3 linked regions of the Arabidopsis thaliana genome follow. The gene in region 1 interacts genetically with each later gene. Each region holds a gene or a part of one and is shown in the gene's direction. Other genes may lie near its edges.

What was found.
Region 2: of NRPD1B (region 1) and SUVR2, changing one enhances a phenotype caused by changing the other (phenotypic enhancement), as found in Arabidopsis thaliana (one study listed by BioGRID).
Region 3: of NRPD1B (region 1) and DML1, changing one suppresses a phenotype caused by changing the other (phenotypic suppression), as found in Arabidopsis thaliana (one study listed by BioGRID).

The regions. Positions count from the first base shown.
Region 1 is NC_003071.7:16,709,917-16,719,216, forward strand, and holds the start of NRPD1B (nuclear RNA polymerase D1B), read left to right. Parts: upstream 1-4,543; 5' UTR 4,544-4,808; intron 4,809-5,163; 5' UTR 5,164-5,172; coding exon 5,173-5,253; intron 5,254-5,509; coding exon 5,510-5,636; intron 5,637-5,727; coding exon 5,728-5,843; intron 5,844-5,939; coding exon 5,940-5,987; intron 5,988-6,320; coding exon 6,321-6,485; intron 6,486-6,651; coding exon 6,652-6,810; intron 6,811-6,894; coding exon 6,895-8,775; intron 8,776-8,863; coding exon 8,864-9,039; intron 9,040-9,151; coding exon 9,152-9,227; intron 9,228-9,300. Other genes in the region: AT2G40010 (Ribosomal protein L10 family protein), read right to left, coding at 97-165, 275-532; AT2G40020 (Nucleolar histone methyltransferase-related protein), read left to right, coding at 1,847-1,984, 2,079-2,276, 2,449-2,593, 2,681-2,937. UniProt on the Arabidopsis thaliana protein: DNA-dependent RNA polymerase catalyzes the transcription of DNA into RNA using the four ribonucleoside triphosphates as substrates.
Region 2 is NC_003076.8:17,696,265-17,707,115, forward strand, and holds SUVR2 (SET-domain containing protein lysine methyltransferase family protein), read left to right. Parts: upstream 1-1,577; 5' UTR 1,578-1,830; intron 1,831-2,179; 5' UTR 2,180-2,189; coding exon 2,190-2,441; intron 2,442-2,551; coding exon 2,552-2,608; exon of another isoform or gene 2,609-2,663; coding exon of another isoform or gene 2,664-2,696; coding exon 2,697-2,735; intron 2,736-2,819; coding exon 2,820-3,081; intron 3,082-3,193; coding exon 3,194-4,311; intron 4,312-4,489; coding exon 4,490-4,740; intron 4,741-4,876; coding exon 4,877-4,943; intron 4,944-5,046; coding exon 5,047-5,097; intron 5,098-5,221; coding exon 5,222-5,318; intron 5,319-5,440; coding exon 5,441-5,469; 3' UTR 5,470-5,772; downstream 5,773-10,851. Other genes in the region: PDLP1 (plasmodesmata-located protein 1), read right to left, coding at 1-194; AT5G44000 (Glutathione S-transferase family protein), read right to left, coding at 5,967-6,152, 6,244-6,493, 6,907-7,670; AT5G44005 (uncharacterized protein), read right to left, coding at 8,945-9,229. UniProt on the Arabidopsis thaliana protein: Probable inactive histone-lysine methyltransferase that acts as regulator of transctiptional gene silencing independently of histone H3K9 methylation.
Region 3 is NC_003071.7:15,305,711-15,318,032, reverse strand, and holds DML1 (demeter-like 1), read left to right. Parts: upstream 1-3,225; 5' UTR 3,226-3,435; intron 3,436-3,677; 5' UTR 3,678-3,760; coding exon 3,761-3,894; intron 3,895-3,977; coding exon 3,978-4,093; intron 4,094-4,195; coding exon 4,196-5,326; intron 5,327-5,419; coding exon 5,420-5,791; intron 5,792-5,896; coding exon 5,897-5,987; intron 5,988-6,080; coding exon 6,081-6,978; intron 6,979-7,052; coding exon 7,053-7,132; intron 7,133-7,254; coding exon 7,255-7,339; intron 7,340-7,416; coding exon 7,417-7,508; intron 7,509-7,584; coding exon 7,585-7,653; intron 7,654-7,742; coding exon 7,743-7,779; intron 7,780-7,863; coding exon 7,864-7,946; intron 7,947-8,104; coding exon 8,105-8,530; intron 8,531-8,732; coding exon 8,733-8,769; intron 8,770-8,860; coding exon 8,861-8,918; intron 8,919-8,991; coding exon 8,992-9,131; intron 9,132-9,210; coding exon 9,211-9,276; intron 9,277-9,357; coding exon 9,358-9,472; intron 9,473-9,557; and 5 more. Other genes in the region: AT2G36480 (pre-mRNA cleavage complex 2 Pcf11-like protein), read left to right, coding at 10,498-10,902, 11,765-11,866, 11,955-12,212. UniProt on the Arabidopsis thaliana protein: Bifunctional DNA glycosylase/lyase, which excises 5-methylcytosine (5-meC) and 5-hydroxymethylcytosine (5-hmeC), leaving an apyrimidinic (AP) site that is subsequently incised by the lyase activity.

The DNA.
Region 1 (9,300 bases):
AAATACAAACTTTCACTTTCCAAGCTATCAATCCATATTTGAACTCTACTAAAGCTTAACAACAACAATAACATCAATTGAGCCAAAGAAACAAACCTTGTACTTAGCAACCTCTTCACTGACTTCCTTCAAGTCACCCTTAGTGAAGATCAACCCAACATTCCCCTGTTAAATAGATTCTAACACCAAACCAAATCAAATTCTCCACAAAACCAAAAAATCAATACTTTATATCCAAATGAAAACAAACTATTCAAGACAAGAGAAATGAAACCTGAAGAAGAGGAAGGAGACTGAGGAAAGCTTGATTGCCAGTTTTATCAGCATGAATCCTCACAGATCTCTTCATCATTGTGTTCTTCCCCATCAAAACAACTGAATCACCTCGTAAACCTTTCCTTATGTTCTGAAGCTGAGTTGATCCAACATTGTCAGCTGCAACGACAAGAATCTGAGAGTACTCATTCAAAAGCTGACAAAGCTTTGAATCGTAAACGATCTTCTTCTCCGCCTTTGTTGCTTTCACCGCCATTTCCACTTAAAAATGATAAAGTGAGACTAAAGAAACTAAATTTTGGGGTAGAGAAAATGGAGGGCCTAGACGAAGCTTGGAGCTCGTACAAGGTGGACAGCGCGAATTGGCGCTGTCTCTTTAACCTCTGTAACTGTTTTTAACAGAGGAAGGAAGAGAGAAAGAAAAAAAGCTGCGTAAGAATTTGCTTAAGGTTGAAGAAGAAGTTTCTTGGGTTTATATAGTTATCGGAAGACGGAAGGATGAACGGTCAGGGTTTGTGGGATGACCTAAATCTAACGGCTTATATTATTTGTAGTAGTATCAATGGGATGGGCCAATATTGCCCAACATGTTTAACATTATGAATCTTTTTCCTATTGGGCTAAAAGCTCTTTCGACCCACATCTCAAGCCCAACTGAGATCCATTCATTGTAATTCATACTTTATTATTTTTTATAGTAACCAATAAGAAAATGGTTGACTTAACAGAGAAAATGGTTGACCCAAACAAATACTATATTATTTTTTTAATTCGATTTCATTCAAAGAAGCATTTTTGGGAGACGAGGAGGCGATCCACGGCTTATTCTTAAGAAACCTTCCACAGTCGCCGCCGATTTTATCTTCTCCGCCGTAAGTACTCTCTTTCCCTATCGAATCTGAACGAAACAGCTCAGCACATTGTCATCTCTGTAGCAAAATTAAGTTCGTGTTTTTGTGTTTTGTTGTGATTCTGTTTAGGTTTCATTTGGGTTTGAATTTTAGGGTATTTTTGGTTTATCTCTAGTGTTACTGATTCGGGATTTTTGGGAAAGAGCTCAACTTTTGTTTTGTTTCATCTTTCGTTGATTTTGTTGTTACATAGGTTTGAAAAAAGGGATCACTTGTTTGGTTGCCTTTGTTTGTTTGTTTGATTATAACCCAAAGACTTATACTTTTGGTCCTCCAATTTCTTCTGAAACTACAGGGAATTGTGAGGGATCAACAAATGGCTCCCAGAGGAAGAAGAAAGGTATAAGCTGTACTGTTTTTTTTGTTTTGTTTTTCCAAATTAAAATGCTGGCTAACAAGTAAAGATATGAGCTTTTGAATCATATAGTTTTTAGAGAGTATAGTGGAAAACTAAGATAAAAGCATAGACATAGACATTAGAGTAGAATGACTATATAGATGAAGTATTTGAATGACATGATTGTTGAAGTTAACATTTTGTTTCTCTCTACGACTTCTGTGTACTCAACGTTGAGAACACTGATGAGATAAGTTTACAAATACTTCTTTTTATGATGGGTGTTCTTGTTTTTTTCCTTCTATGATTATCTCTCTTTTCTATGCTTTTAAATTGCTACTTTTCTTTTGCTTTTTTGCAGAAGGCTGGATTGATGCGAGAGGATGCAGCACGAGATCGCATGAGAGGATTTGGGTTTCATGAGCATGTTATCAGTGAGAGTATTAAGGAACTGTTAGAGGTTTGTTCGCTAGTTTTAGGGTCTCCATTTTTCCGTTGTTGATAACATTTTCCTTGCAACTTGAAAATAACGTTTTACCCACTTTGGATTTCAGGTCTACGAAGACCAATGGTTTTTGATTGAAGATGATAGCTATGGTCCCCTCCTTGCTATCTGCCTTGAAAAGCAAGAGGAAAAAGAGAAACAATTGGCTGAAGTACAAGCCAACCAATTGCCTGAGAATCACAATGAAGAGATGGCTGAGGAAGAACAACCCAATCAATTGGCTGTGGAAATACACGAAGAAGAGAAGGTGATTTGTTTTTCTTCCTTCTCGTTCTCTTTCTGTGCAGGTTCACAAATCTGTTGCTTCCATTGTTGGGATTCGTTTTGCTGGCATTATTAGAAACCATTGACAGAATTCTTGAACTTGGTTTACCCAAATGGTATGTAACTTGCAGCATGATCCATCTTTTGTAATACAGGAGCAGGAGCAGGACATGCATATTGAGTATGGAAGAGACCAAGCTGATGAGTTATCAATCAATAGCGAAGCAGTCAATGACCCATCACCAGCAGCTATTCATTTGGGAGAAGCATCATCAGATTATGCACAAAGTTCTGTTCGAGGTAATAAAAGCTTTTTTACTCATATCCATACCAATCTCAACATAAGAAATGAAACATTCTTTTACTGCGGTCAAAATAATTGATTAGGTGTGGAGAATCTTCATTGTGGATGGCTAATTGATGAGGAGGAGACGGATCCTGAGGAGGAAACGGATCCAGAGGAGAAGGAGACCGAGCCAGAGGATCCAAAGGAGAAGGAGACGGAGCCAGAGGAGGATAGTGATGGTGATGATGATGAGATCATTCAGCTTACTCCAGAACCTCTTTGTGAAGAACTTCAAGAGCTTCTCAGGGAAGTACGTGGACAGAAGAGGAGGAAGAAAGAGATGAGGTGGGACAAGTAAAGGAGCTATGGAGCTCCTGTAAGTAGCAAATTGATATATATGTTAGGAAGCCAAATAGTAGTAGTAAGCTATAGTATTGTGGTGAAAAAAGGTAAAACGACCCATCTTAACATCTCTTGAGATATTGGTTTTTAATAATTTGTGATGGAGTAGAGAAAGCAGATAGTCTTTATCAGTAGTTGTATGAGTCATACAATAGTACCCGAACCCACTTATCCAAAGATCAATGTCGAAAGTGGAAACCAAATCCCTCTAAAGTAAATTGAATAGCCAGTCTAAAAGTTAGACCAAATCTGAAAGTCGGTTTAATTGCAATTATACCTTCTAAATGCAAGAACCAATATCAACCGGTACTTCATATTCTTTTGATTTTTGATTTGTACATATAAACTTTTTTTTGTACATATAAACTTAAATGCAAGTATAGCTTGACTTGTATTTTACACATCAGCGGAAAAGTTTGAGAGAGGAAGCATATTGTATTTCGTTTGGTTACAACTTTTGCTAACTTTTACAATAAATGGAATGAAATTTTTTTCCACTTAATTCCTCCTGAATAGAAAGAAATTGATGCAATTTTGTTCCCTTTTTAAATCCATGAGCCAATAAGTGCATCTCCAATTATATTCCAAATTTCACTCTAAATACTAATTTAGAAAAAATCCTTTTAATACCACTATATTCTCAACTCTAAAAGGGAGTGATGAATATGGTATGATATCATCTGTCACTTCATTTTGGAGTTACCCTTTACTTTTTATTTACAAAATATTTTCCTAAATTTATACTCATGTTCTTCATTTATGTGTAAACAAAATTATATAAATGAAGAAAAAGAGTTATTGTTAACCTTCTCCATGTTTTCATTATAAATTGATATGAGCATTGGTTACCGTTCTTTCGGATAAAAACGAAGTTTATCTCTTGAAAACATTGTTCCTTTCATATTCATATCGCATCAATATATAATTGAAAAGTTCATTTATGGTGATCGATCAAATATATAACAAAATAAAATGAAAAAATACTTTAACATTTTATATATAATTTTTGAAGACAAAAGAGCTGTTTTTTTGTCTTTAATTGATTGGTCAACTGTTTACATATTCATTTTTTTGGTATGAACTATTTACAAATTCATGAATACAAAAAATATCTCAAATTTTTTTTTACAAGTCGATCCACTTAGTTCTTACCGTTTTTTTGGTATAACCATTATTTTATAAAACATCGTTCCCGCTAGATTTTTATCGCATCAAACATAGCGTACTACAAACGGAAACGGTCATCTATGGCGATCGATCAAATATACAACACCAAAATCGAATCCAAAAAATAGTTTACTTGAAGTATTTATATGTTTTGCTTCACTGCTAATTCTATGGTTTTGAAATCCTTTATTCTTCTCAAAAAAAAAAAAAGTTTGTCAATGGTTGTTGACATGGTCTTGCATAATATGTGGATAAATATTTGTTTTAATCATTTTCATCATCATTGCATATTCCCAAGTGTTATCAATTGTTTGACAAATAAAGAAAAATTAAAATTGATACCTTTTTATTTTAGTTAATTAATAACGAAACTGAAAATATTTCTCCCTTTGCATGCAATGTGGGTTTTAAAGACGGAAGCTGAAGAGTGAAGAAGAACAAAAGATTTTTGAGAGAGAAAAGTAGAGTCACTCCAAAATTGTTCTCTCGCAATCTTCTTTCTCGGTTTCCTCTTTTAAGAAAAAGTCCGCCATTTTCACTCTCACTCAGATTTCTTCCCTCTTCTCACCTGCAAAAACCCTTGTTTCCCGCTGTTTCGTTTCTTCTCCGGTTGAGGAACCAAAACGGGTCAAATACGCAGCTGAATCATCGAATTCTTAGGTATTTTCGTCTTACCCAACTCTTATCTTTAGATGTTTTTCCGGGAAAAGAGCTCGATCATGACTCCGCCGTGTTTTTTTTTGGGGGGGGGGGGGTTTCTCCGAAATGGGTTTCAAATGTAGGTTACTCTAGGTTTGAAAGTTCGGATTTTTTGGTTCACTGTGTGTTACTACAGCTTCGATTTTGTGTAAACGAGTATAAAAATTGTATCTTTTACAGATTTGAGAACTTGTTCTTCAAAGACTTGATTTTTCTTTGTATCAAGTTAGTGAGCTCAAATGTCTTTGTTTCTCTGTTTGTTTACATCTGATAAGAGCTAACTCGGTCTCGCTGGTGTGTGATTTTCGCTCGTTAGGGTTTTTTCATGGAGGAAGAATCTACATCAGAGATTCTTGACGGAGAGATTGTTGGAATCACATTTGCTCTTGCTAGTCACCATGAAATAGTAAGTTATAAGAGTTATACTCTCTGGAATTGATCCATCTTGTTCTGCATCAATGTTTATCATGGGTTTTACATAACTGAAGGATTTCGAATAGCTAAAACCTCTATGTTTTGGTTATCTTTGGCACTAAATTCACTATAATTGTACTCAAGCTCTGTGTGATGCTAAGTGCTACACTTTTGCATATAAATGTTGTTCTGCGATATATCCTCTGTCACTATTCCATTTCTCACTGGACTGTAATTCTTTCTTGCAGTGTATTCAATCGATTAGTGAATCCGCAATTAATCATCCCAGTCAACTCACTAACGCATTCTTGGGGTTACCTCTTGAATTTGGTAAATGTGAATCTTGCGGTGCGACAGAACCAGATAAATGTGAAGGTAATCCAGTTCCGTAGTTGCTATATTTTTGTTCTTACATCATTTGTTGGAATACTTCTTCAGATATCGGTATTTGTTTCTACATTTTCAGGTCATTTTGGTTATATTCAGCTTCCAGTGCCAATATACCATCCTGCTCATGTTAATGAGTTGAAACAAATGCTGAGCCTTCTGTGCTTGAAATGTCTGAAGATAAAGAAGGCAAAGGTATTACCTCATTGAGTTTTCTTAAATTCCATGTGATCCACACATAAATAAACCATATAAAATCTCGACTAATCTTTTTCACCTTTCTGAGTACAGGGCACAAGTGGTGGTCTGGCGGATCGCTTGTTGGGTGTCTGTTGTGAGGTGAGTAATGGCATATACATTCTGATTGTTTCCTTTTAAGTTTTACCTGAAAGCAAGTTGATAGATGTTTCTTATGTGAACCTGGTTCAGCATTTAGTTAGTTTTTCTAAGTTTTCCTTCAACTAGTTGCATGTTAGAAAACTTGCTAATTCAAATCTAAATAGTATTTGTGCTTCTTTTGATCCATTCAGTGAAAGTAACATTAATCAATGCTTGTGAAGCAGTAGCTATTGGTATTTTCGTGGCATCATGAAACATTCACTGCTTTATGTTATTTTGGATGTTATTATTGCTGAACGTCTTGGATTTTTAACTACTATATTACTTTATTAGGAAGCTTCGCAAATCTCAATCAAAGATAGAGCATCAGATGGTGCCTCATATCTAGAACTGAAGCTCCCATCTAGGTCAAGACTGCAGCCTGGTTGCTGGAATTTCCTGGAAAGATATGGTTATCGCTATGGAAGCGATTACACGCGTCCCCTGCTGGCAAGAGAGGTTTTTACTTTCTTCTGTGTGTTTATGTTTCTGTTTATGTAGGATTTTATGGTGACGTTCTTTTTGTTCATTTGGAATCATTCTCTATCTTTAAGATCTTTTCTTTCTGGAAACTGATGATTATGTACTTTCCGTGTCCTTTTCCATATGGTGGGAAAACAAATAGGTTAAGGAAATTCTAAGACGGATCCCCGAAGAATCAAGAAAGAAACTCACGGCAAAGGGACATATTCCTCAAGAAGGATACATACTAGAGTATCTTCCTGTCCCGCCTAACTGTTTGTCAGTGCCAGAGGCTTCTGATGGTTTCAGCACCATGTCAGTGGTAAGTTGAAACTAAATTACTATGTTGAGTTGAATGCTTTGGCTTGTGTTGTAACCCCTGGATTTGTGTCATTCTTATTTTCAGGATCCTTCCAGAATTGAGCTAAAGGACGTTCTGAAGAAAGTCATAGCCATAAAAAGCTCTAGGTCTGGCGAGACAAACTTTGAGTCGCATAAGGCTGAAGCCAGTGAGATGTTTAGAGTGGTGGATACCTATCTCCAGGTGAGGGGTACTGCAAAAGCGGCAAGAAACATTGATATGAGATACGGGGTGTCTAAGATCTCGGATAGTTCATCTTCAAAAGCTTGGACAGAAAAAATGAGAACACTTTTCATCCGTAAGGGTTCAGGTTTCTCTTCCCGTAGCGTCATCACTGGAGATGCTTACCGACATGTGAATGAGGTAGGGATCCCAATAGAAATTGCGCAGAGAATCACATTTGAGGAAAGGGTTAGTGTCCACAATAGAGGTTATCTACAAAAGTTGGTAGACGACAAGTTGTGTTTGAGTTATACTCAAGGTTCTACGACCTATTCTTTAAGGGATGGATCCAAGGGGCACACTGAGCTTAAACCCGGGCAGGTTGTTCATCGCAGGGTCATGGATGGGGATGTTGTGTTTATCAACAGACCCCCGACAACACATAAACATTCTCTTCAAGCGCTTCGGGTGTATGTTCATGAAGACAACACCGTGAAGATTAACCCTCTGATGTGTAGCCCCCTCAGTGCTGATTTTGATGGTGATTGTGTCCATTTGTTCTACCCTCAGTCTCTTAGTGCTAAGGCAGAGGTTATGGAGCTCTTCTCTGTGGAGAAGCAACTGCTTAGCTCACATACTGGACAGCTGATTTTGCAGATGGGTAGTGATTCTTTACTGTCTTTGAGGGTAATGCTGGAGCGGGTATTTCTGGACAAGGCAACTGCTCAACAGTTAGCTATGTATGGCTCTCTGTCCCTGCCACCACCAGCACTAAGGAAGTCCAGTAAATCTGGCCCAGCTTGGACAGTTTTCCAGATTCTACAGCTTGCCTTTCCAGAACGTCTGAGTTGCAAAGGAGACAGATTCCTGGTTGATGGAAGTGATTTGCTGAAGTTTGATTTCGGGGTTGACGCGATGGGGTCCATCATCAATGAAATTGTAACTTCAATCTTCCTGGAGAAGGGTCCAAAGGAGACACTTGGATTCTTTGATTCGCTGCAGCCTCTATTGATGGAAAGTCTGTTTGCTGAGGGATTTAGTCTAAGTTTGGAAGACTTATCCATGTCTAGGGCAGACATGGATGTAATTCACAACCTAATAATCCGAGAGATTTCACCTATGGTGTCTCGCTTGAGATTATCATATAGAGATGAATTGCAGCTAGAGAACAGCATCCACAAAGTGAAGGAAGTGGCTGCTAACTTTATGCTGAAGTCATATTCCATTCGGAACTTGATTGATATCAAGAGTAACTCAGCAATCACCAAGCTGGTGCAGCAGACAGGCTTCTTGGGTCTTCAGCTTTCTGACAAGAAGAAGTTTTACACGAAGACTCTGGTAGAGGACATGGCTATCTTTTGTAAGAGAAAGTATGGCAGGATTTCTTCATCTGGTGATTTTGGAATAGTGAAGGGCTGCTTCTTTCATGGGCTGGATCCGTATGAAGAGATGGCTCATTCAATTGCAGCTAGGGAGGTAATTGTTCGCTCTTCAAGGGGATTAGCTGAGCCTGGAACCCTCTTTAAGAACCTGATGGCTGTTCTTCGGGATATCGTGATTACAAACGATGGAACTGTAAGAAACACCTGTAGTAACTCAGTCATCCAGTTCAAATATGGAGTTGATTCTGAACGTGGACATCAAGGTCTGTTTGAAGCTGGAGAACCTGTTGGAGTATTGGCAGCTACTGCCATGTCAAATCCTGCATATAAGGCAGTGCTTGATTCCTCTCCAAATAGTAATTCATCATGGGAGCTAATGAAGGTATAGCAATATCAAATCTGCCTTCTGAATACAGCTTTGTTCATCTGTATTGTTGTGTAATTGTTTTCTGTATTTGTTCTTTTCCCAGGAAGTTCTGCTCTGCAAAGTCAATTTCCAAAACACTACTAATGATCGGCGCGTAATCCTTTATTTAAACGAATGCCATTGTGGAAAAAGGTTTTGCCAGGAAAATGCTGCTTGCACAGTCAGGAACAAGCTGAATAAAGTTAGTCTTAAAGATACTGCAGTGGAATTCCTAGTCGAGTAAGAATTGGGTTTTAGTAACTTCAGTCGCTCTTTTTAGTGTTTGTGTTATTTTTTTTTTATGGTTTTACTAAACCTCTTTGCAATCTGCTTTCTCTTTACTTGCATGAAGATATAGAAAGCAACCAACTATATCAGAAATTTTTGGAATTGATTCATGCCTACATGGCCATATTCATCTTAATAAGGTTTGAATCTGGTTCCTTTACTGTTGAATCTTTCTGGAAGCCTCTACCTGTCATAGAAACACTTTCCTATTAT
Region 2 (10,851 bases), on another chromosome or scaffold:
AAAGAGCTTTGTGATGATTGAGAAACTAAAGAAGTGAATAAGTTTTTGAGATTCTGAGAGAAAACACCAGTTGGGTCTGGAGATTTCTGATTTGCACAACCTTTAAAGATCAGATTTTTATAATCATCATCACCGGAGATTGCAAAGAATGGTAAAAAGAACCAGAAGATGAAGAATTGATAGGTGAGTTTCATAATTGAGAAAGACAGAGAGAGATTTTTGTTTCTTGATGTTCAAAATCTTTTTACTAGTTTGTTTCTGTCTAATAAAGTTTGTGTTGTTTTTATGTGTCCGGAAAAAAGAAAGTTTTCCGTTTTTTTTTTGTCTTTTGTTTTGAGGTTTAAAGACAAAAAAATGTAAATAAGAGCAGGTTTTGTAGTATGAAACCATGAAAAATAAAGGAGTATACTTTTCTTTGGATCTTGCTTCAAGGGTAAGATAAAAAAGAAAGAAACTTTGAGACGACAAGTGTTTATTATATAGATTTGGTTTAGGAGATTATGTAATACAGTATCAAAAAAAAATGATTACTGTTTCTTCTTTTTTGTTGTTGAATTTAGTGAATAACCTTTAATGCCATTAAATCTGACTTTATTGTCTGAATTTGGATTTTGTTTTAGGACATTGATGGAAAAACACCTTTTGTGTATATGTATTTTTTGTTTAAGGCACTAAGATATATTTTGATGAGTTTGATTTAAATTGTAGGCTGATACGAGAAGGAAAATAAAATCTTAGACCTTGTTGTAAATGTGAATGATTGATTCGATTTTATTTTGTGTCCAAAACAAAACAAAACATGATCGTTTTGAGTTTACATAATTTCAGAACATAATTGCGTAGTAACTGGAGTAAATAATAATAAACCTGTGTGTTTTTGTAAACTACAAAAGATATTATCACTATGATTATTTTGAGTTAATGATAAGCATGATTGTTTTTGCAGGATTTTGGATTTCACATTCTATATGATATATTTTGAGTTGGTGAGTGTGGAAGATTTGTCAACAACCCTTGATCTCACAAGAACCAAATTGCCTTTGTGTGTTTGGATTATAGCTCTCTTGGAACCTTTGTTGATGTATTTTACCTATGCTTTTGCTTACCTTTTATGGTATTGGGGAATGCCTATCTTTGTTGTATGTTAAAACTTTGTGATCTTAGAATCCTTCTACCTTTGTACTTGTTTTCTCTTGTAGATGAATGAAAACAAGCATTTGCCCAAAAAAAAAAAAAAAAGATTGCTCGGAGAAGTAGAGGTGTTCCCCAATGTTTCAAAATCATTAAGAGTTAAAGACTACAAAAGGAAAGAACTAATACTGTATACTGTAAAAGATATGTGAAACTCTTAATTAAGTATAGATTCCCTATACAATATTAGTGAATAATTTTTATAAAATAAGGTTACCAGAACTGCCTGCATTGGATTTAAATACCGGAGAATTTGAGACATACATAGTTACATACACATGATAGTAGTAAGATCAAAAACAAATCTTAAGAGGTCAATAAGATTCGCTTATTTATTGAGTTTGACCCGACCCAATTAAGCCCGGCCCATTAAGCAGAGAAGAAGAAGAAAGAGAGAGGGTCAACAAAAAGTCACAGTCGAACAAGATACTGAGAAAGAAACGAAATTTCACCTGGCACTGTCCTCGCGTGTACTCTCACGCGCCGACGTAATACTCTGCCGTCGTCACCGACATTGTCTCTACGCCGTTGTCATTTGCTTATTACGGCCAAGATTCTTCACTAAGTAAGTCAAAATCGTGGAATCCTTTCTCTGTACCGAGCTCGCTTTAAACCCTAACCCTCTCGTCTCTGTACTTAGTAAGTTCTTCTAATTTCCGACGAAAGTCTTCTCCTTTTTGAGTCTCATCGTCATCTGAAAACGCTATTAGCTCTCTGGAAGAGAAAAAACAACGTTTTGTTAGAGTTTCTTTGTGCGATTGTGTTTTCTTAAGAGGAAAGGTTTCAACTTTCTTAGGATATTCAATTTCTGAGTCTTTTCTGCTACTTGTGGTTAGTCTTTGCTGCTAGGTAGATGTCTGTAGTCTTGGTTTGTTGTTGATTTGCTTTAGGTCTGTCTTTGCTTATTGTTGTAATGTTTTGAGTTCTGGCCACATTTATTTCCTTACTGAACGGCTCTTCACATCTTGTTTCTTCCGCATTTTGATAGGACGAGGCAAATGAGAAGTTACAACTTGTTTCACGAAAGCAATCCCACAATCAGTTTTAGTTTTGTTGGTGCAGAAACGATGGCACCTAATCTGCATATCAAGAAAGCATTTATGGCTATGAGGGCTATGGGAATAGAGGATGCGCGAGTGAAGCCGGTCTTGAAAAACCTTCTCGCCCTTTACGAGAAAAACTGGGAGTTAATTGCTGAAGACAATTACAGGGTTCTTGCTGATGCTATCTTCGATAGCCATGAAGATCAGGTATCTTTCTTTGTTCTCTCTTTGATCTACTGTTTTTTTTTTTGTAAATCTGTTGTAATCATTGTCTTTGTTATTACCTTGACATTCCATATTGATTTACTTATATAAAGGCTATTCAAGAAAGCGAAGAAAAGAAGGCAGACGAAGTTAAAGAGGATGAAGGCTGTGTATGTTTTTTCCAAACAATCTTCCATTTATTAGTTCAATGTTGCTTTATTATCCATGCTTCACTTTGTTGTTGATCCAATCTTTCAGGCCGCAGAAGTTGACAGAGGAAAGAAAAAGCTCCATGAAGTATGGCAAACTGAATATCTTTGCTGTGTTAGAGTAATGTGTCTTCATGTTCTTGTTTATTCAGTTTCTGTTGTGTAATATCAGTCTATCGAGGATGACGAAGATGTTATGGCTGAGTCTGATCGCCCTTTAAAGAGGCTGCGACGCAGAGGTGAAGGAGGCTCTGCTTTGGCAAGCCCTAGCTTGGGCAGTCCGACTTTAGAGGGACCTTCAATTAATGACGAAGAAAATGCTCCGATCCTATTGCCATATCATCCTGTACCAATTGAAAATGACCATGATGCTGGTGAGCTCATTCTTACAAAAGTCGAGCCCATTACAAATATGCCTCTCAGTTCTATTCCTGGTACTTTTTTGTAAATAGGAGTAACTAAATCTTATTTGCATTGCTCATTTTGTTGTTATGATTGTTGAAGCTACTTTCTCCAAAACTAATGTGTCTTGTACGTTTTCTGTAGATTCAGTAGATAGAGGGGACTCTTCCATGCTTGAGATAGACAAATCAAATGGACATGTGGAAGAGAAGGCTGGTGAAACAGTAAGTACTGCTGATGGTACTACCAATGACATTTCTCCTACAACTGTTGCGAGATTTAGTGATCACAAGCTAGCTGCAACCATAGAAGAACCTCCAGCACTTGAATTAGCTTCTTCTGCTTCAGGCGAGGTGAAGATTAATCTTAGTTTTGCTCCTGCAACTGGAGGATCAAATCCCCATTTACCTTCTATGGAGGAACTACGAAGAGCAATGGAGGAGAAGTGTCTCCGATCATACAAAATACTGGACCCCAACTTTTCTGTGCTTGGTTTTATGAACGACATCTGTAGCTGCTACCTGGACCTGGCAACAAACGGGAGAGATTCAGCTAACCAATTGCCAAAAAACTTGCCGTTTGTCACAACGAACATTGATGCATTGAAGAAATCTGCAGCAAGGATGGCTTATACTTCTCAGGCCAGTAATGATGTTGTTGAAATCTGCAGCAACGAACATATGCGTGATGCTGAAAACGGTGCAGTTGGTGATTCCATGGCTTTGGTAGTTGTTCCTGAATGCCAACTTTCTGCAGATGAGTGGAGATTGATAAGCAGCGTCGGGGACATCAGTCTAGGGAAAGAAACTGTTGAGATTCCCTGGGTGAATGAGGTCAACGACAAAGTTCCTCCAGTTTTCCATTACATAGCCCAAAGTCTTGTGTATCAAGATGCTGCAGTGAAGTTTTCGCTTGGGAATATCAGGGATGACCAATGCTGCTCCTCTTGCTGTGGAGATTGCTTGGCTCCGTCAATGGCATGCAGATGTGCAACTGCTTTTAATGGCTTTGCATACACAGTAGATGGCCTCCTACAGGAAGATTTTCTGGAACAGTGTATCTCTGAGGCCCGTGATCCGCGGAAACAAATGTTACTGTATTGCAAAGAATGTCCTTTAGAGAAAGCCAAAAAAGAAGTAATCCTGGAACCGTGCAAAGGGCATCTAAAGAGAAAGGCCATTAAAGAATGTTGGAGCAAGTGTGGCTGCATGAAGAATTGTGGCAACCGAGTTGTCCAACAGGGCATTCACAACAAGCTGCAGGTACATTCAACTTACCAACCTTTTTAGCCAAGTAGTCCAGGATTTGATAATCTAAACCCATCTCAGTTCTGATAGAATTGAAACTGATTATGATCATTTTAACTTGGACTTAACCAGTGGAGAGATTCTGATGCCTGAATTTTGTTTATGTTCCTTTTTTTTTTTTTTTTTGAATCAGGTGTTTTTCACGCCCAATGGGAGAGGCTGGGGACTCAGAACTCTAGAAAAACTGCCTAAAGGAGCATTTGTCTGTGAGCTTGCTGGAGAGATATTGACCATTCCAGAGTTGTTCCAACGCATCTCTGACAGGCCTACTTCTCCAGTAATATTGGATGCGTACTGGGGTTCTGAAGACATTTCAGGGGATGACAAAGCACTTTCTCTTGAAGGAACGCACTATGGAAATATTTCCAGGTTCATCAATCACAGGTAAAGGGACACTGAAAATGAGTTTGTTATAAAGTTTCATATGACTAGCCTAGATTTAGAACTCATTTGGGAAACTTATATAGTTGGTTTCACTCTCAATTCATTACTTCTAACTGTACTATGTCTATATGTGCAGATGCTTAGATGCAAATTTGATTGAGATCCCAGTTCATGCGGAGACTACTGATTCACACTACTATCATGTATGACACAGTTCCTTGTTTCATTTCTAATCATTTGCTTATAGAAGACTCATCTGTTATGTGGAAACAATAGACCGATTAGCTAATCTGTATTTTTTTCCAGCTTGCATTCTTCACAACAAGAGAGATCGATGCTATGGAGGAACTTACCTGGGTGTGTTAGAAGTTTCTCCACCCACTCTTAACAGATTTGTTTCTTTTAGAAATTTTCACTAGTTCGGGTTCAAGTCCTGTTTTCTTTGTGGTTCTGTTTGAGAAGTTTTGGACTTGACCTGCAGGATTATGGTGTCCCATTCAACCAAGATGTGTTTCCCACGAGTCCGTTCCATTGTCAATGTGGTAGCGACTTCTGCCGAGTCAGGAAGCAGATTAGCAGTGAGTAATCATCACACGATTTCTATTTGATAATCCTTTTCCTATATTTGACTGTTATCTCGGTTTTGAAACATGAGCCCTTCACTATTTTGCAACTAACACGCAATTTGTTGATGCTGCAGAAGGCAAGAATGTGAAGAAGCGAGCATGAGAGAGAGCTTTACATTGGTAGGTTTTGAAGATATGTGGTGGGCGCAAACTCCTTTTTGTTGTGAATGAATTGGCAAAAAAATTCCAATCGAAAAACGCTTTTTGTAAAAAATTCCGACAATGCATATAAGCAAAGTCGCGGTCCATAAAATAGGTAGGTAGCTATCAGGATGAAACTATAATCCTTAGAAACTGATTCACTTTTGTGATATCAAAAACTCGTGTGAATATCTTAATTTTGGTTCTAACGGCTATGGCTTTTGGTTATGACTTATATTGAAAGATCTCTCTATTTATATAAATCGTAGTATCGAAGTGAAGTCTTGAAAGTGATTTCACCTTAAGAAGAACTCCCATGAGAATCACTTGTGGAAGGCTTCTCTCTCTCTATATATATGAGGAATGATAATAGTACAAGATCAAAGCTTATTACATTGTATGATACTTTTGAGTGCTGTTGGATAATCCTATCATTGAGTTATGTACAGTTTTCTACGCTTAAACCGAAAGCTGTGCTTCAATGGCTTTACCTACCAAGTCTCGGTTATGAGGTCTCCAGAGAGAATCTTGATCGCCAGATGAAGAAATGGCCGGTTGAATTCCACTAGCGTTTAGCGGAAACAGCGTCTTGTAGTAGCCATCCATTATAGCCGAAATATCACAAGTAGCCGCAACACCAGGAATCTGTTTCAACAACAACAACAAACACATAATTTGAAACACACTCCCAGATGCAGAATTTATGTCTCAGAGAGAAGCCAGTAAGAAGAGGAACCTGGTAAATCTCGCGCAAATAGCCATAGAGATTTGGGTATTCAACAAGCTTCTTCTTGGTGCATTTGAATAGAATGTTGTAAACCGAATCAAAACGAATCAGAGTTGTGAACAGACATACATCAGCCAATGTCAACCTTTCTCCACACAAGTATCTATTACTACCCAAGTGATCCTCAATCTCATCTAAGGTACTAAAGAGTTCATTCACTGCTCCATCATACGCTTCTTGGCTCTGCGCAAACCCGCACCTTTCAAAAATCACCACACATGACACAACAAACAAAGCCATCAACTTTAGCAACAAACACACATTGCAGCATCAAGAACACAAGCTACGCAAAAACCGCATCAAATGTGAACAATTCAGTTGCTTTCTATAGCTTTTAATACTAAAGAGTTCATTTTACAGCTCCATCATACACTTCTTGGCTCTGCGCAAACCCACACCTTTCAAAAAATATCGCAAGCAAATTACCACACAACAAAGTCATCAACTTTAGCATCAAACACACATTGCAGCATTAAGAACACAAGCTATGAGCTAAACCCGCATCAAATTTGGAACAATTCACTCCATTCCTATAGCTTTTTTGATATCCCGCTTACTTGTAAACGCCATTGTAACATTCTATAAACATTGTAATGATGTTTTCCAATTTACCTGTAAACGCCATTGTTAACTTTAGGATACACAATCTGATTCCAACCTTGTATCATCTCTTTCAACTCTGGTGGCGAGAGATCCAAGTTATCATTTCGGGCCAATTTGTTTAAACCTGAATTGAAGAACTCGATAATATCATAGCTTTCGTTACAAACAACATCTTTCTTCCTTAAATCCCACAGCATTGGAACAGTACACCTCCCATCGTAACCTCCACTTCTAGATTTGTACACTTCCTTAAGATTCCGGCACCGGTTTGCTTTATCCAAACTCGGGATAAGTTTATCCTTATCCTTGATTGGGATATTATTATTCTTGAATTCCCATGATCCATCTTGACCAGGTGATGCGATTGAGACCGGAACGGCGTCGTTTAAACCCTTGAGAGCACGGACAATTAGGGTTCGGTGAGCCCAAGGGCAAGGAAGACCAACGTAGAGGTGGAGCTCGGAGGAAGCAGCGGAAGTGAATTGGGTCGGGTCGAGACGAAATTTTGAAGTGGGTCGGGTGTATGACCCGGATGAATCGGATGGAGCGAGTTGGGTCATCATGAGCTGCCACACGGTTGTCCAAGCTGTTCGAGCGGTGGAGATAAGTAGACCTGGAGGAAGAGATGGTCCCCATAGTAGCTTTGTGGCGGAGGTGAAGATGCTTGTGGTGGTGCTCGTGCTTGGTTTTGGTGATTGGTGCGACATTCTAGGGCTGAAATGGCGTGGCGAGAAGGACGGGAAGGTTAATTGTGGCGCGAAGCAATTGGCCATGGCTGAATTTTTTTCCTTCGGCGAGAGAAGAGAGACGAAAGACGTAAAACGATATGTTTTGTATCCATTTGAAAGCAGGCCCAACTACGTTTATTCTAGGCCCAAGTGGATATAAGTGTTTCACTAATTAAAATGTTTCCAAACATTTTAATTATAAAATTATAAAATAGAGTGGATATAGAGTATATAGAGTGTTTCACTAATTTATAAATCAATGTTATGAATTATAATAGTTTTTCAGTTCTGTGAAATAAAATAAATTTTAAAAATAACATAAATTCTCATCTCACAAAATTCAAAAATTTATTATTAAAAAATGGTGAAAGCAGCTGAGGGGCTCTTACCATTGAAAATGCTCTTAGTTTACATGTGTTCTCTAATTCTCAGACTCTTGTTCACTGGCCTCTTTTAATGATGAAGAATCTACTGTTGAGCTTAGGAGAATTTTCTACGACATTACTCTTCTCCGGCTCCGGTTTATCTTGCTATCTTTTAATTATGTTTCTCGATATCTTTTAGCAAATAGTGCATTGTCTTCTTTAAATTCATCCTCTTTTGGAGTGTAATGGTTACTTTTATCAAAATAACTTGTTTGCCCAAATTTGTTTATATGAAATTTGGTTTAGATTCAGATTGTTGAATTTAAGACTTGTTTTGTGCCCACCCCAAAACAAAAAAAAAAACAATTATGAGGTTTCCCTATCCAAAAATTGTGTATTGAGTGGTAATTAGAAACACTGTGGGGACATATGTTAATGTTAGATGACTGAATTGATTGCTTCATTAATAATAAAATGACAGCAATTATTTTACTTTGATTTTAACATTTCATCTGCAAAACATAAAAATTTTAAAAATACTTTTTATGAATACATTCTCATTTTTCAATTTTCAGAAAATCTTAACTGGTCCGATATCTTTTTCTTCCACATCAATTATATTTATTATGTCATCTATGGGTTTACCAATTCATCAACATCATATATATCATCAACGAAAAACACAACGAGTTAATAGTGTTGCAAGAAAAAATGAAGACTACAAAGCTAAGATAAATTAGGCTCATACAAATGTTGTTTTCTATGACAAGTATTTGTATTTGGATCAAAAGTTAAAGCCTATGAATAGAAATATCAAGATCTTGCAATTTTGTATGCAAGAAAACACGAAACAAAAAAAATCATCTTTTCAGATTGAGAATTTAATTTACTACAAAATATGAAAAGAAAAGGCTCCATATATAGACAATAATAGCAACGTCTATGTAATTAAAATCACCGTCGGCGAGACCAACCGTCGTCGAAATTCAGATGATAGCTCCGGAGATCATAACTACACTGAATATTATTATGATCACTCTTCCGAGACCACCTTAAGCGCGATTTAAGCCTCCAAACAAACTGCTTCACGAGAACACGTGGTTTTCCACAACATGAGAACGCAAACGCCACAATCGTTCTTTCCTCGGTGTTTCCTAGCGTTGCTGAAGCCGTCGTCGAGCTTCCGATTCGCTTTCCCCATCTCCGGAACTGAAGTCTCTTCAAACTTTGTTTGTTCATAGCTTTTAGAGTTAGTTTACTCTGTGTGTGTGAGATTTGTGAGAGTGAGAAAATGTGTAAGAAGTAACAAAGAAGCAAAGAATGTGAGGAACATTTAAAGAGCTAAATTTGATAGAAAGTGAGAGATAGAGAGGGAGGCTATGGGATTTGCAACGTGTGGATTTATCATTCGTGGACTAAAAGTGTATAGTCAAAGAATAGTCGAAAGAGCATCACTCACCACCATATATCCATTTTTTTTGTTTGCCTAATATACAAATATGAAAAAGCTAAGTAATTAAACATTATAAAAGTAATTCAATCTATTTCATCTATTACCACTTTAGTGAACTACCTCGTGACGTATTTGCACATAAACTTCTATGTTTTAGTGGCTAAATGAAATCATTAATAGGCAAATCATGGTGTTTTAGCAAGATTTTAAACGACCCTTTTAACAAAAAAAAAAGATGGGTTTAAACGACCAACATAATGACATGAGTTAGTAGATAAATCATCAGTAGATTAACATATTTCAATACAAAAAGAAATATAGTAGAGTGATTCATGATTCATATGCCAAAGAATTATCCAAAGTGCGTCATTCATCACCATATATCCACTTCTTTTTTGTTTGTCTAATACACTAGTATGAAAAAGTTAATATTATAAAAAACAATTCAATCTATTTCATCATCTATTACCACTTAAATAAACTACCTCGTGACATATTTGCACATTAACTCTATGTTGTAGTGGCTAAATGAAATCATCTATAGGCAAAATCATGGCGTACATCTAGCAAGTTTATAAACGACCTACAAAAGGTTTTAAAAGAGCTACACTATGACATGACTTAAGATAGGACATCAATACATTACCAAATGGTTAATACAAAATATAGTAAAATGATACGTTTCATAGTTCATATGTCAAATTAACACTCCCATTTATTGAGATTTAGTCTTTATAATGAATGAATATAAATTTCTAATGAATGAATATAAATTTTCAAGATATGTTTGAAAATTTAGTTAGTGTCAGCTCCACATCACAAGCCTAATTTATGGGTCATAAACCCGTCCCAACTTTGGGTGGAGAATCAAATACAACTTTTATTAGAACCAATAAACCAACGGTGAAGCAAAAATCTCAACGACTAAATTAATCCCACTATTGGCGAAAAAATAATAAGAATTCCACTTTTGAAACCCCTTTATCAAAAAGCATTATCTGATGCAAACTCATTTTTTTCATCAGTTTTTTTTGTCTGAAATTCTTCGGAAACATTCGGTTAAAGTGAGATATGAGTGTCTACCAGTCTACACCGTCCATGGCATAAACGACGACGTTTTAGGATAGATCATGACATGGATTGATACAAAGCATATACCAAAATGACAAGATTATGCCTAAAAGGAAGACCCCACGCGTAATTGCTTTCTTGTTACATGACGTAAAAGTAAAGATACATGAGTCAAAACGACAACGATGTATAACAATTATAAACAAAGAGAATTCAATTTTAAACAACCAAAATAAAGCTAAGGAAATATCTCGAACTAGAAATCAATTCATTTCTGGATCTTTCTGTTACTCATCCATCATACCATTTATTGTATCTTTATCATCTAATCGCAAAC
Region 3 (12,322 bases), 1.4 Mb from region 1:
TGAGCAAAACCCAATAATCAAAATCACAAATTTATATGTTTTGATCTTAAGAAAACTCACAAGGATTTGATTCCAGAAATAAGACTTTTCTTTCGCTATCTGTTCTTTTTTTCTCCTTTTGAGTTTTTTTCTATTTTCTGTTTTATTTTTTTAAAAATCGTTATCATCATCCTCCTTAACAACGTGTCTGGTGGTTGGTTTCTATCACTCAACCCAAAATTAAAAAAGAAGATTAATAGAACAATAATTCTGTTATTGTTGTTAGGTAGTAAGCTATGTTTAATAAATGAGGATTACCCTAAATGGGTGTTATTAGTTGGTGTCATTAGTAGATAAGGTTTATATTAGTCGATTTTATTTATCAGAGGTCATTTTAAGGAGTGAATTGTTTGGCGAATTGGCGTAAACAATATGTATATTCTACGTTATCACCATTATTAGGAGTATATATAAAGAACCTTTCTCGTTGGAGTTTGTTCATCAAAAGAATCGACTTATATACTTTCTAGAATGAATGTTCTAAGTGAACTTTTATAAACAATGATCCAAAAGATAGATCAATATTGCATGGGGAAAGGAACAGTTGAAAAAGTCATGCATTAATAAATAAAGTTTATACTTATTAAGTGGGTTATTGTAGTCTTCTTCTATGTGACATGTTTAAGATCGAAAGATGGCACTTGGCTTCCACTTGGCACTATCTCAGTTTGCATGAAATCACAATATGGTATTTGTCTCTTTGAGTTAAGTTTCACCATTGTTTATATGGATAATATCATGTCGATACAAAATGTATTATAATATCATAACATTATAACGTGTGCATGTAAAATAGGATTATAATAAGATAAGAATTAAGTGCTTTGCTAAAATTCAATGTAATTTATACTTTTCATGCATGGTGAATGAGTAAAAGAGTTGAATGAATCTGATACATGAGACGTGGATGGTAAGCGAGAGCTATGTCATTCACACGTCTCACACAGTGCGTGAAACGGGAATCTCCTGCCACCGCTTGAGAGGATTGACCTTATGGGATAAAAAAATCTTTCGACGCTTAAATCAGAAAATAATCACAAACATGTTATGAGAAAACAAATCAGCGAAGTCGTGGGTCTTGTATCCGCTGGTACTATTGCTCTGATTCTCTGTTTCCGGTCTTCAGCAAGATCCGATCATTATCTCCAGTCATACAAAGATTTTTTTGATTATTTATTTTTGTATATGTTGGATCTTTGTAATGTCCAAGACCTTACCCAAATTTTTGGGAAGGCCAATATTATAAAATTATGAATAAAACAAAGAACTAAGAACTATGGGAATGATATTTTTTTTTTTTTAATATATAAACTACGTGAATGATACCATATCATAAGACAAAAAATAGAAGTATGGATTGAGATACAAGCGTGGCGTCTTTGTTTTCAAGTGACCTATCTCCTTGATTATATTAAATAAAAACTAGTAAACAGGTTACATGATAGATTCGTAGATTAGTAGTATTTCAAGTTATAATTAAGATCAGGATATTTATAGTTACAGAGTATGATCGAGTAACAAGCGACGATTTATATGAGGTTTTTAGGCATGCCGGCTTTAGACTATAGTCGATGAAGCAAGGACTTTAAGGTCGACGCCAAAATATTTTTTATATTTTGAACTTTTGAGAACCCTAGTTAGGCCTAAGCTTCACTTTGCTTGGCACACAGCCGGTTATATTGGTGGATCAATGTATGGATATTTTGTATGTTTGGAGTGATGGCTTTATCGAACTCTCTGAACACAACTCTGCTAACCATACATCCACACGTCGTGTGATAATTAGATCTTATATAATAGTCCAAAAATGACTTCCAACTCATATATTTATATAAATAGTCTTCTTTTGTGGTTATATGTTTGGTTATTTCTATTTATAGTTTAATTCAATACCAATATTACAACTAAATCAGTTTAATTTTTCTTTGATTTGGTCTTTGAATTCACTTTCATGGTCAGTTTCATTGTTTAAGATAAACTTGAATGGATTAAACCGAATTAGGCATTCACTTTTGATCAGTCTCTTCTGCCATAATCTTCATAAGACAAACCCAAATTTGTAAAAACTTTTTTGAAAAAGAAACCGTAAGTAAAAGTAAAAGCGTTTAGGATCCAAGTATGGATTAGCTTCGTAATTTGAATTAGGTTTAGCTATACGAATTCGTTTACTTTTGTACCATATTTAGTTGTATTGTTTTCAATAATAGTTTTAAACATTCGAATAATCCGTTCCCAACTTTTTATCCACTATTATTCGTCTCAGTTTCTAGGATAGATATGTCCACACAAAAAAGCTCTTGATTTTTTTTTTTTTTTTTACAAATTCCAAATTTCTTTGCTCATAACCCAATCATTAGGTTATGACCACCATTGACTCACTCATAAGTCATAAGTCATAGGCTCATAACCAATCCAACAAGTTGTTAAGATTGACAACAACGATTCACTAAGATTCCAACCAAGTCCATGAAATAAATGATTTACAATACTCATTTCTCATGTACGTCTCTTTGAAGGTTTCTTGCATGACAGGAAATCAAAGGTTAGCACACTAATTACTCTTTTTTTCACACACATTCACAGTTTCACACATATGGTGCAGTATTTTGACTCCTATCGTACTAGACTAAAACATTTGGAATGATCAAAAACGAAAGACTCGTTGGGCAACTAGCCTAATAATCACTCTACTACACTAGCTCCCATATCAGTGGAAAATAATAATTCTAAAACGAATCATTTAACTTCTGCATATGTAAACGAAAACGTGTAAATTTATGAGATTACGTAAAAATTAGCAAAATAATATATTATTGATCAAAATTATAAACGTGGATTACATAACATGTTATTTGTTTAAATCATAATTTGATGATAAATTTATAAATAAAGTTCTAATTATTTTATATCTAAAGCAAAATTAAGATTATTTTATAATTTCTATTAATTATAAAATTAGTTAGTTCATATAATTTTAAATAGTTACGTAAACGAGAAAAAATACGAAATTTTAAAGAGAAAAAGATAACAGAAAAGACGATGATGACGATGACGATAACAACGACAATATTATTAACTTTTTAAATCATCTTTCCCATAGTCTAGGAGATTTTGTAGAAAAGAATCATTATTTTTAAAATAAAATTCCGTAAAACTTTTCCCGCCAACCAAACGAACTTTCGCCCTACATAAACAAACGGTTATGAAAAATAGTGAAACACACAACAACACATGTTATATCCTCTTCTTTATACGTTAGGCCAAAAAAGCTTTTTCTATATTACTCTTTAACTTCATCGATTCCAAGAGAAGAAACGAAGCATCAGTGATCTTATCCTCTCATAGCTACCACCGAACTAACTCTCTCCATCACCACCATAACCATTGATTCTACTGGTAATGAATTTTGTTTTTTTCTTACTTTTTTTTACATTTTGTTGTGAATCTAAAAAGTCTCTCTTTCACCTAACGAACGGATTAATCGTTCATGTCGCCACTCACCCAAAATCAATGACTTCCGGAGATCTCTCTTTCTCTAAAACCCCAGAAAAAAGTGGATCTGATCATTTTATAAAATCGTGATTTTTAAAAAAAATTGGTGATCTCTTTTATTGAAGAAATTATTGAACTTTTTGCAGTGGAAAAAATAGAAAGTTCCAAGCTTTTTCTCAAATGGTTCTGATTTAAGTAAGAGTGAAGAAAAGTAAAAATAGAGTCAGAAATGGAGAAACAGAGGAGAGAAGAAAGCAGCTTTCAACAACCTCCATGGATTCCTCAGACACCCATGAAGCCATTTTCACCGATCTGCCCATACACGGTGGAGGATCAATATCATAGCAGTCAATTGGAGGAAAGGTTTGTGCTTTTTTGTTCTAAAGTTGAGAAATTTCAAAGAGTAGTGATGGGTAATTGGTTAAGTAAGGTATTGATGCATGCAGGAGATTTGTTGGGAACAAGGATATGAGTGGTCTTGATCACTTGTCTTTTGGGGATTTGCTTGCTCTAGCTAACACTGCATCCCTCATATTCTCTGGTCAGACTCCAATACCTACAAGTAAGAGGGGATTTTGATTCTGGTCTCATGAGAAATGAAATCGCTTTGTCAAATTTTGATTCTGTTTGAGTTGGACTGAGAAAGATGTGATTCTCAATGTAGGAAACACAGAGGTTATGCAAAAAGGTACTGAAGAAGTGGAGAGTTTGAGCTCAGTGAGTAACAATGTTGCTGAACAGATCCTCAAGACTCCTGAAAAACCTAAGAGGAAGAAGCATCGGCCAAAGGTTCGTAGAGAAGCTAAACCCAAGAGGGAGCCTAAACCACGAGCTCCGAGGAAGTCTGTTGTCACCGATGGTCAAGAAAGCAAAACACCAAAGAGGAAATATGTGCGGAAGAAGGTTGAAGTCAGTAAGGATCAAGACGCTACTCCGGTTGAATCATCAGCAGCTGTTGAAACTTCAACTCGTCCTAAGAGGCTCTGTAGACGAGTCTTGGATTTTGAAGCCGAAAATGGAGAAAACCAGACCAACGGTGACATTAGAGAAGCAGGTGAGATGGAATCAGCTCTTCAAGAGAAGCAGTTAGATTCTGGGAATCAAGAGTTAAAAGATTGCCTTCTTTCGGCTCCTAGCACGCCCAAGAGAAAGCGCAGCCAAGGTAAAAGAAAGGGAGTTCAACCAAAGAAAAATGGCAGTAATCTAGAAGAAGTCGATATTTCGATGGCGCAAGCTGCAAAGAGAAGACAAGGACCAACTTGTTGCGACATGAATCTATCAGGGATTCAGTATGATGAGCAATGTGACTACCAGAAAATGCATTGGTTGTATTCCCCAAACTTGCAACAGGGAGGGATGAGATATGATGCCATTTGCAGCAAAGTATTCTCTGGACAACAGCACAATTATGTTTCTGCCTTTCACGCTACGTGCTACAGTTCCACATCTCAGCTCAGTGCTAATAGAGTCCTAACCGTTGAAGAAAGACGAGAAGGTATCTTTCAAGGAAGGCAAGAGTCTGAGCTAAATGTTCTCTCGGATAAGATAGACACGCCGATCAAGAAGAAAACAACAGGCCATGCTCGATTCCGGAATTTGTCTTCAATGAATAAACTTGTGGAAGTTCCTGAGCATTTAACCTCAGGATATTGTAGCAAGCCACAGCAAAATAATAAGATTCTTGTTGATACGCGGGTGACTGTGAGCAAAAAGAAGCCAACCAAGTCTGAGAAATCACAAACCAAACAGAAAAATCTTCTTCCGAATCTTTGCCGTTTTCCACCTTCATTTACTGGTAATGAATAGATACAGAACTATATTTCTTTGTTTTTTTGAATCTGTTAAATGCAGACTATTTCTTGATAATGATGATGTTTGATTCCTGCAGGTCTTTCTCCAGATGAACTTTGGAAACGACGTAACTCGATCGAAACAATCAGTGAGCTATTGCGTCTATTAGACATCAACAGGGAGCATTCTGAAACTGCTCTCGTTCCTTACACAATGAATAGCCAGATTGTACTCTTTGGTGGTGGCGCTGGAGCAATTGTGCCTGTAACTCCTGTTAAAAAACCACGCCCACGACCAAAGGTTGATCTAGACGATGAGACAGACAGAGTGTGGAAACTGCTATTGGAGAATATTAATAGCGAAGGTGTTGACGGATCAGACGAGCAGAAGGCGAAATGGTGGGAGGAAGAACGTAATGTGTTTCGAGGACGAGCTGACTCATTTATTGCAAGGATGCACCTTGTACAAGGTTATACACCACACTTGTCCTTTTATGTGTTTCTGTTCTAACCACATGGTTTCAATTAGTATGTCTCAGCTACTGCTTCTTGTTATGGTCTTTGGTTTCTAACAGGGGATCGACGTTTTACGCCTTGGAAGGGATCCGTCGTGGATTCTGTTGTTGGAGTATTTCTCACTCAAAATGTTTCAGACCATCTCTCAAGGTACAAGCTCTTACATAATTCTATGTCAAACTAAATCCAAGACAGCAAAAAGTCACAAAACTAACTTGCTTTGATGTTTTTTACTCCTTGTAGTTCGGCTTTCATGTCGTTGGCTTCCCAGTTCCCTGTCCCTTTTGTACCGAGCAGTAACTTTGACGCTGGAACAAGCTCGATGCCTTCTATTCAAATAACGTACTTGGACTCAGAGGAAACGATGTCAAGCCCACCCGATCACAATCACAGTTCTGTTACTTTGAAAAATACACAGCCTGATGAGGAGAAGGATTATGTACCTAGCAATGAAACCTCCAGAAGCAGTAGTGAGATTGCCATCTCAGCCCATGAATCAGTTGACAAAACCACGGATTCAAAGGAGTATGTTGATTCAGATCGAAAAGGCTCAAGTGTAGAGGTTGATAAGACGGATGAGAAGTGTCGTGTCCTGAACCTGTTTCCATCTGAAGATTCTGCACTTACATGTCAACATTCGATGGTGTCTGATGCTCCTCAAAATACAGAGAGAGCAGGATCAAGCTCAGAGATCGACTTAGAAGGAGAGTATCGTACTTCCTTTATGAAGCTCCTACAGGGGGTACAAGTCTCTCTAGAAGATTCCAATCAAGTATCACCAAATATGTCTCCGGGTGATTGTAGCTCAGAAATTAAGGGTTTCCAGTCAATGAAAGAGCCCACAAAATCCTCTGTTGATAGTAGTGAACCTGGTTGTTGCTCTCAGCAAGATGGGGATGTTTTGAGTTGTCAGAAACCTACCTTAAAAGAAAAAGGGAAAAAGGTTTTGAAGGAGGAAAAAAAAGCGTTTGACTGGGATTGTTTAAGAAGAGAAGCCCAAGCTAGAGCAGGAATTAGAGAAAAAACAAGAAGTACAATGGACACCGTGGATTGGAAGGCAATACGAGCAGCAGATGTTAAGGAAGTTGCTGAAACAATCAAGAGTCGCGGGATGAACCATAAACTTGCAGAACGTATACAGGTAAAAATTTAGTGGCTAAATTTCGTGATAACATTCATTTTAAGTATTTGACTCTGAACATGAAAATCATGCAGGGCTTCCTTGATCGACTGGTAAATGACCATGGAAGTATCGATCTTGAATGGTTGAGAGATGTTCCACCAGATAAAGCAAAGTAAGTTTGAAAGACGAAGCATTTTATTTCTTCTTTATTAACCTATACAAAGATTACTACTTTGGCAGTTTTAGTGACTTAATAATGAATTATGTACTCTCGTATATTACAAAACCCTGCAGAGAATATCTTCTGAGCTTTAACGGATTGGGACTGAAAAGTGTGGAGTGTGTGCGGCTTCTAACACTTCACCATCTTGCCTTTCCAGTAAGCAAGGATCAAACTTTTGTTTCTGTCCCTATAAAAAGTGAATTATATGATGCATGAACTTAATTTATTGACAGGTTGATACAAATGTTGGGCGCATAGCCGTCAGACTTGGATGGGTGCCCCTTCAGCCGCTCCCAGAGTCACTTCAGTTGCATCTTCTGGAAATGTAAGCACTTTTCAAAATGGTCCTACTTGGAAATTGTAATTTGTTACTTAATACATCTGAGGTTTGGTTTGTCTAGGTATCCTATGCTTGAATCTATTCAAAAGTATCTTTGGCCCCGTCTCTGCAAACTCGACCAAAAAACATTGTAAGAATGATGTTTATCACTAACTTTTTTTTTTTCATGCCTCAGTCTAATACACTTATTCATTAGTTTAATACCCTATTATCTCACAGGTATGAGTTGCACTACCAGATGATTACTTTTGGAAAGGTATGTATTAAAGAAATACATATATACGTATGTCAAAATCAGCTCACATGATGAGGTTTGTAATCTGCTTGATTATTGTATCAGGTCTTTTGCACAAAGAGCAAACCTAATTGCAATGCATGTCCGATGAAAGGAGAATGCAGACATTTTGCCAGTGCGTTTGCAAGGTGCTACAACATGTTCTCTTAAACCTTTAGTACCACTATGACTCTATGAGGAAAGTCCTTGTTAAAATATAACCCAGTTAAATGAGAATTGGTCTGTATCTAAACGAAGCTCTGAATCATCATTACAGAAAATTTAGTAACATTCATTTGTTTTACAGTGCAAGGCTTGCTTTACCAAGTACAGAGAAAGGTATGGGGACACCTGATAAAAACCCTTTGCCTCTACACCTGCCAGAGCCATTCCAGAGAGAGCAAGGGTCTGAAGTAGTACAGCACTCAGAACCAGCAAAAAAGGTCACATGTTGTGAACCAATCATCGAAGAGCCTGCTTCACCGGAGCCAGAAACCGCAGAAGTATCAATAGCTGACATAGAGGAGGCGTTTTTTGAGGATCCAGAAGAAATTCCTACCATCAGGCTAAACATGGATGCATTTACCAGTAACTTGAAGAAGATAATGGAACACAACAAGGAACTTCAAGACGGAAACATGTCCAGCGCTTTAGTTGCACTTACTGCTGAAACTGCTTCTCTTCCAATGCCTAAGCTCAAGAATATCAGCCAGTTAAGGACAGAACACCGAGTGTAAGAATCCATTTTTCTCTGTTTTTCTTCGTTCTTAGGTTAAAAATGAAATCAGAAACACATTTTTCAAAATTATTAAAGCTTGAACAGAGTAGAATATTTAAGTGATTGACCAAGCATGAACTCGTAAGTTGGAAAGCAGACAAACTTCCCAATAATTACAGGCTATGCCATAACTTGTTTCTTTTCCCGTATCTTGCAGTTACGAACTTCCAGACGAGCATCCTCTTCTAGCTCAGGTATGTGAGCTAACTGGATAAGGACACATGCCGTATAGAGTGCTGTCTATATTGTAAAATCTGACTAGCTGTTTGTGATTTCTTGTGGCAGTTGGAAAAGAGAGAACCTGATGATCCATGTTCTTATTTGCTTGCTATATGGACGCCAGGTAATTTAATGATTTGCATATCTTTTAATCATGAAATCAAATCGGTATCTTTAATCGATGTGTTATTCAACAGGTGAGACGGCTGATTCTATTCAACCGTCTGTTAGTACGTGCATATTCCAAGCAAATGGTATGCTTTGTGACGAGGAGACTTGTTTCTCCTGCAACAGCATCAAGGAGACTAGATCTCAAATTGTGAGAGGGACAATTTTGGTAAGTAGTTGCATCAATCTCCTTATGCGGCTTACTACACTTATGTTTTCTACAGATTAATATGTTGTAAATTGTACAGATTCCTTGTAGAACAGCGATGAGGGGTAGTTTTCCTCTAAATGGAACGTACTTTCAAGTAAATGAGGTAAGACTTGAACTCCAATAACTCCAACTCTTTCATTTTAATTATTTGCATTGAAACTTGTGATGTATTCTATTGATACAGGTGTTTGCGGATCATGCATCCAGCCTAAACCCAATCAATGTCCCAAGGGAATTGATATGGGAATTACCTCGAAGAACGGTCTATTTTGGTACCTCTGTTCCTACGATATTCAAAGGTATAAGATTTTCTTTATTGGATTGTGATGCGATTGTTTATATAAAAGAAAGTTGTTCTAACCACTTGAGCTCTATTTTTCTCAGGTTTATCAACTGAGAAGATACAGGCTTGCTTTTGGAAAGGTACATTTTGTATTAAGCAGTTTCTTCTTGTTCTGAAACATAACTTATCTTTTGATATTATGTAGGGTACGTATGTGTACGTGGATTTGATCGAAAGACGAGGGGACCGAAGCCTTTGATTGCAAGATTGCACTTCCCGGCGAGCAAACTGAAGGGACAACAAGCTAACCTCGCCTAATCCGTTGGCAAGCAAACAAATACAAGCTTATGGTTAAGAGTGAGAGAGCACACTGTTCCAATCTAGTTAATGTAAGAAAGTGAAAACGTAAAGTTAACAGTCCTAGAGTTGTACAAGGTTTCTAAATCCCATTTTAGTTTCGTCTTAAATTTGTATCAAACACTTGTCACAAAAAACAGACCCGTAGCTGTGTAAACTCTCTGTTCCCTTCGTTTGGTTTATATCTGAATTTACGGTTAGCTTTTGGTTACCTGAATCAAGATCTGGTTCGATATGTGGAGGATCTCACTTAACTTGGTTTAAATCAGATAGTTCAACCGGACCAAAGAATTCTATTGTTGTCAAATATTAGATGATGGGCCTATTATACATGGAATGTGGGTCATTAAATGGGCCTAAATATTTTTGGAACCAGCTCCGATCTTCAACTTTTTTTTGTCTCGTCTCCATAAAATCCCCAATTCACAACCCTAATTGATCGGAGATTGTCCAAACTCTCTGACATTTTTGCCGAATTCGAAGCATTCCTTCTATCTTCTCCGTCTTCTTCGCAGAATCGCGTTATGCATCTCAATTTTTAGATTGTAACTTAGGGTTACTGATTGTTGTAATGCTCTGAATTCCCCTCTAACGAGGATTTGTTGTCACTGCAATCGATTTTTGCCGATTAGGTTTAATTTAGGGCATTATTTGCGTACCTCTTGTATTGTATAGTTCTTTGGAATGGAGAATCCTCGTAGACCGTTTGATAGATCCAGAGATCCAGGTCCGATGAAGAAACCCAGGCTCAGCGAGGAATCAATCCGGCCTGTTAATTCCAACGCGCGGCAGTTTTTGTCGCAGAGAACGCTTGGTACGGCTACGGCGGTGACAGTGCCACCTGCTTCGTCAAGGTTTCGAGTTAGTGGTAGAGAAACTGAGAGTAGTATTGTCAGTGATCCGAGCCGAGAGGCTTACCAGCCACAGCCGGTTCATCCACATTATGAGCTTGTGAATCAGTACAAGTCTGCACTGGCTGAGCTCACTTTCAACTCGAAGCCGATAATAACGAACCTTACAATAATTGCTGGAGAGAATGTTCATGCTGCTAAAGCCGTCGTAACCGCCATTTGCAACAACATCCTCGAGGTGAACACCCAGTTTTCATGCCCACTGTTTTGTTGTTATAATCCGTGCTTTAGTTCTCAAATTCTTGTTTGAGTAATAATAATTGTACGATATAAGGGGAATAAGGTAAAAGGTGGTGGTTGAGATTTGTGTTATCTGTATACGAGGTTCAATGAGAAATTGAGTTTTTTGAATCAACCCTAGTATCCTTTTCTGGGATCTATGTGTTTTTATATTTCTTCATCAAGTCGCAAATCATTTCTTTGAAACAAAGTTCATAGTACTGACACAATGTTGTTAACAATCTAAAAAATAGCTGTTGCCCATGCAACCATTTTGTTCATGTTCATATATCAAGAATGCATATATCAGCTCATCATGTGATTGTACTGAGTTTTGGTTATATGAGTGTGTAGTCTCTTTATCAGCGTTAGAGTTTTTTGTATCTCACTTTACCATTTAGCAAGGGCTTTCATAAGCTCTGTTTTTATTGAGGTTGGATTTTCTGTTGGCGGTTTCTGCTTACCGCATGCTCTCCACAAAGCCAAGTCAACTTTTATTCAGTCTTTGGGTAGCAAGGAAGCACTCAATAGAAGGAGCCTGATCCATCAAGTCTGTGTGGAGAGTGAAGACAAGAATTGCTATTGCAGTGTTGTTTACATCGTCTAATGGTTATCTGTGTCTATTGTTGGATTTCTAGTTGTCAGAATATGTGTTAGTATTAGCTTGAATGTCATCTTGGTCTGTGCTTTTGATTCTACTTTAAGTTATTGATTTCTTTCATTACCTTTAGAGGCTCATGTGGAAATCTCGATGTTACTCTCTATGAGATCAAATTGGCCTTTTTTCTTCTGGGTTATCTGATTTGAAGAATATCATGCAGGTACCAAGTGATCAGAAGCTGCCAACACTGTACCTGTTAGACAGCATTGTGAAGAACATCGGAAGGGATTACATTAAGTACTTTGGTGCCAGGCTGCCTGAGGTTTGGTGCTTTGTTGATAGTCATGGTTATAGAATGTTTTTTTCCTAGCAAATTCATCTCTGATCACCCTCTTTTTACTTCTCTGAAGGTTTTTGTTAAGGCTTACAGGCAAGTTGACCCTCCTATGCATTCTAACATGCGGCATCTTTTTGGAACCTGGAAAGGAGTCTTTCATCCGCAAACACTTCAGCTTATTGAGAAAGAACTTGGCTTTAATGCTAAAAGTGATGGTTCAGCAGCTGTTGTATCCACAGCCAGAGCTGAGCCGCAATCTCAGCGCCCACCACATAGCATCCATGTGAATCCCAAGTATCTAGAAAGGCAGCGCCTTCAGCAGTCGGGACGGGTAAGCAATGACCAAAGTAAACTTGCAGCCACTGAAAGTTATTAGTGATGATACACCCTAACCTTCAGCTCTACTAGAGATTTCGCTGTTCTAAGTGTTCATAAATGTAA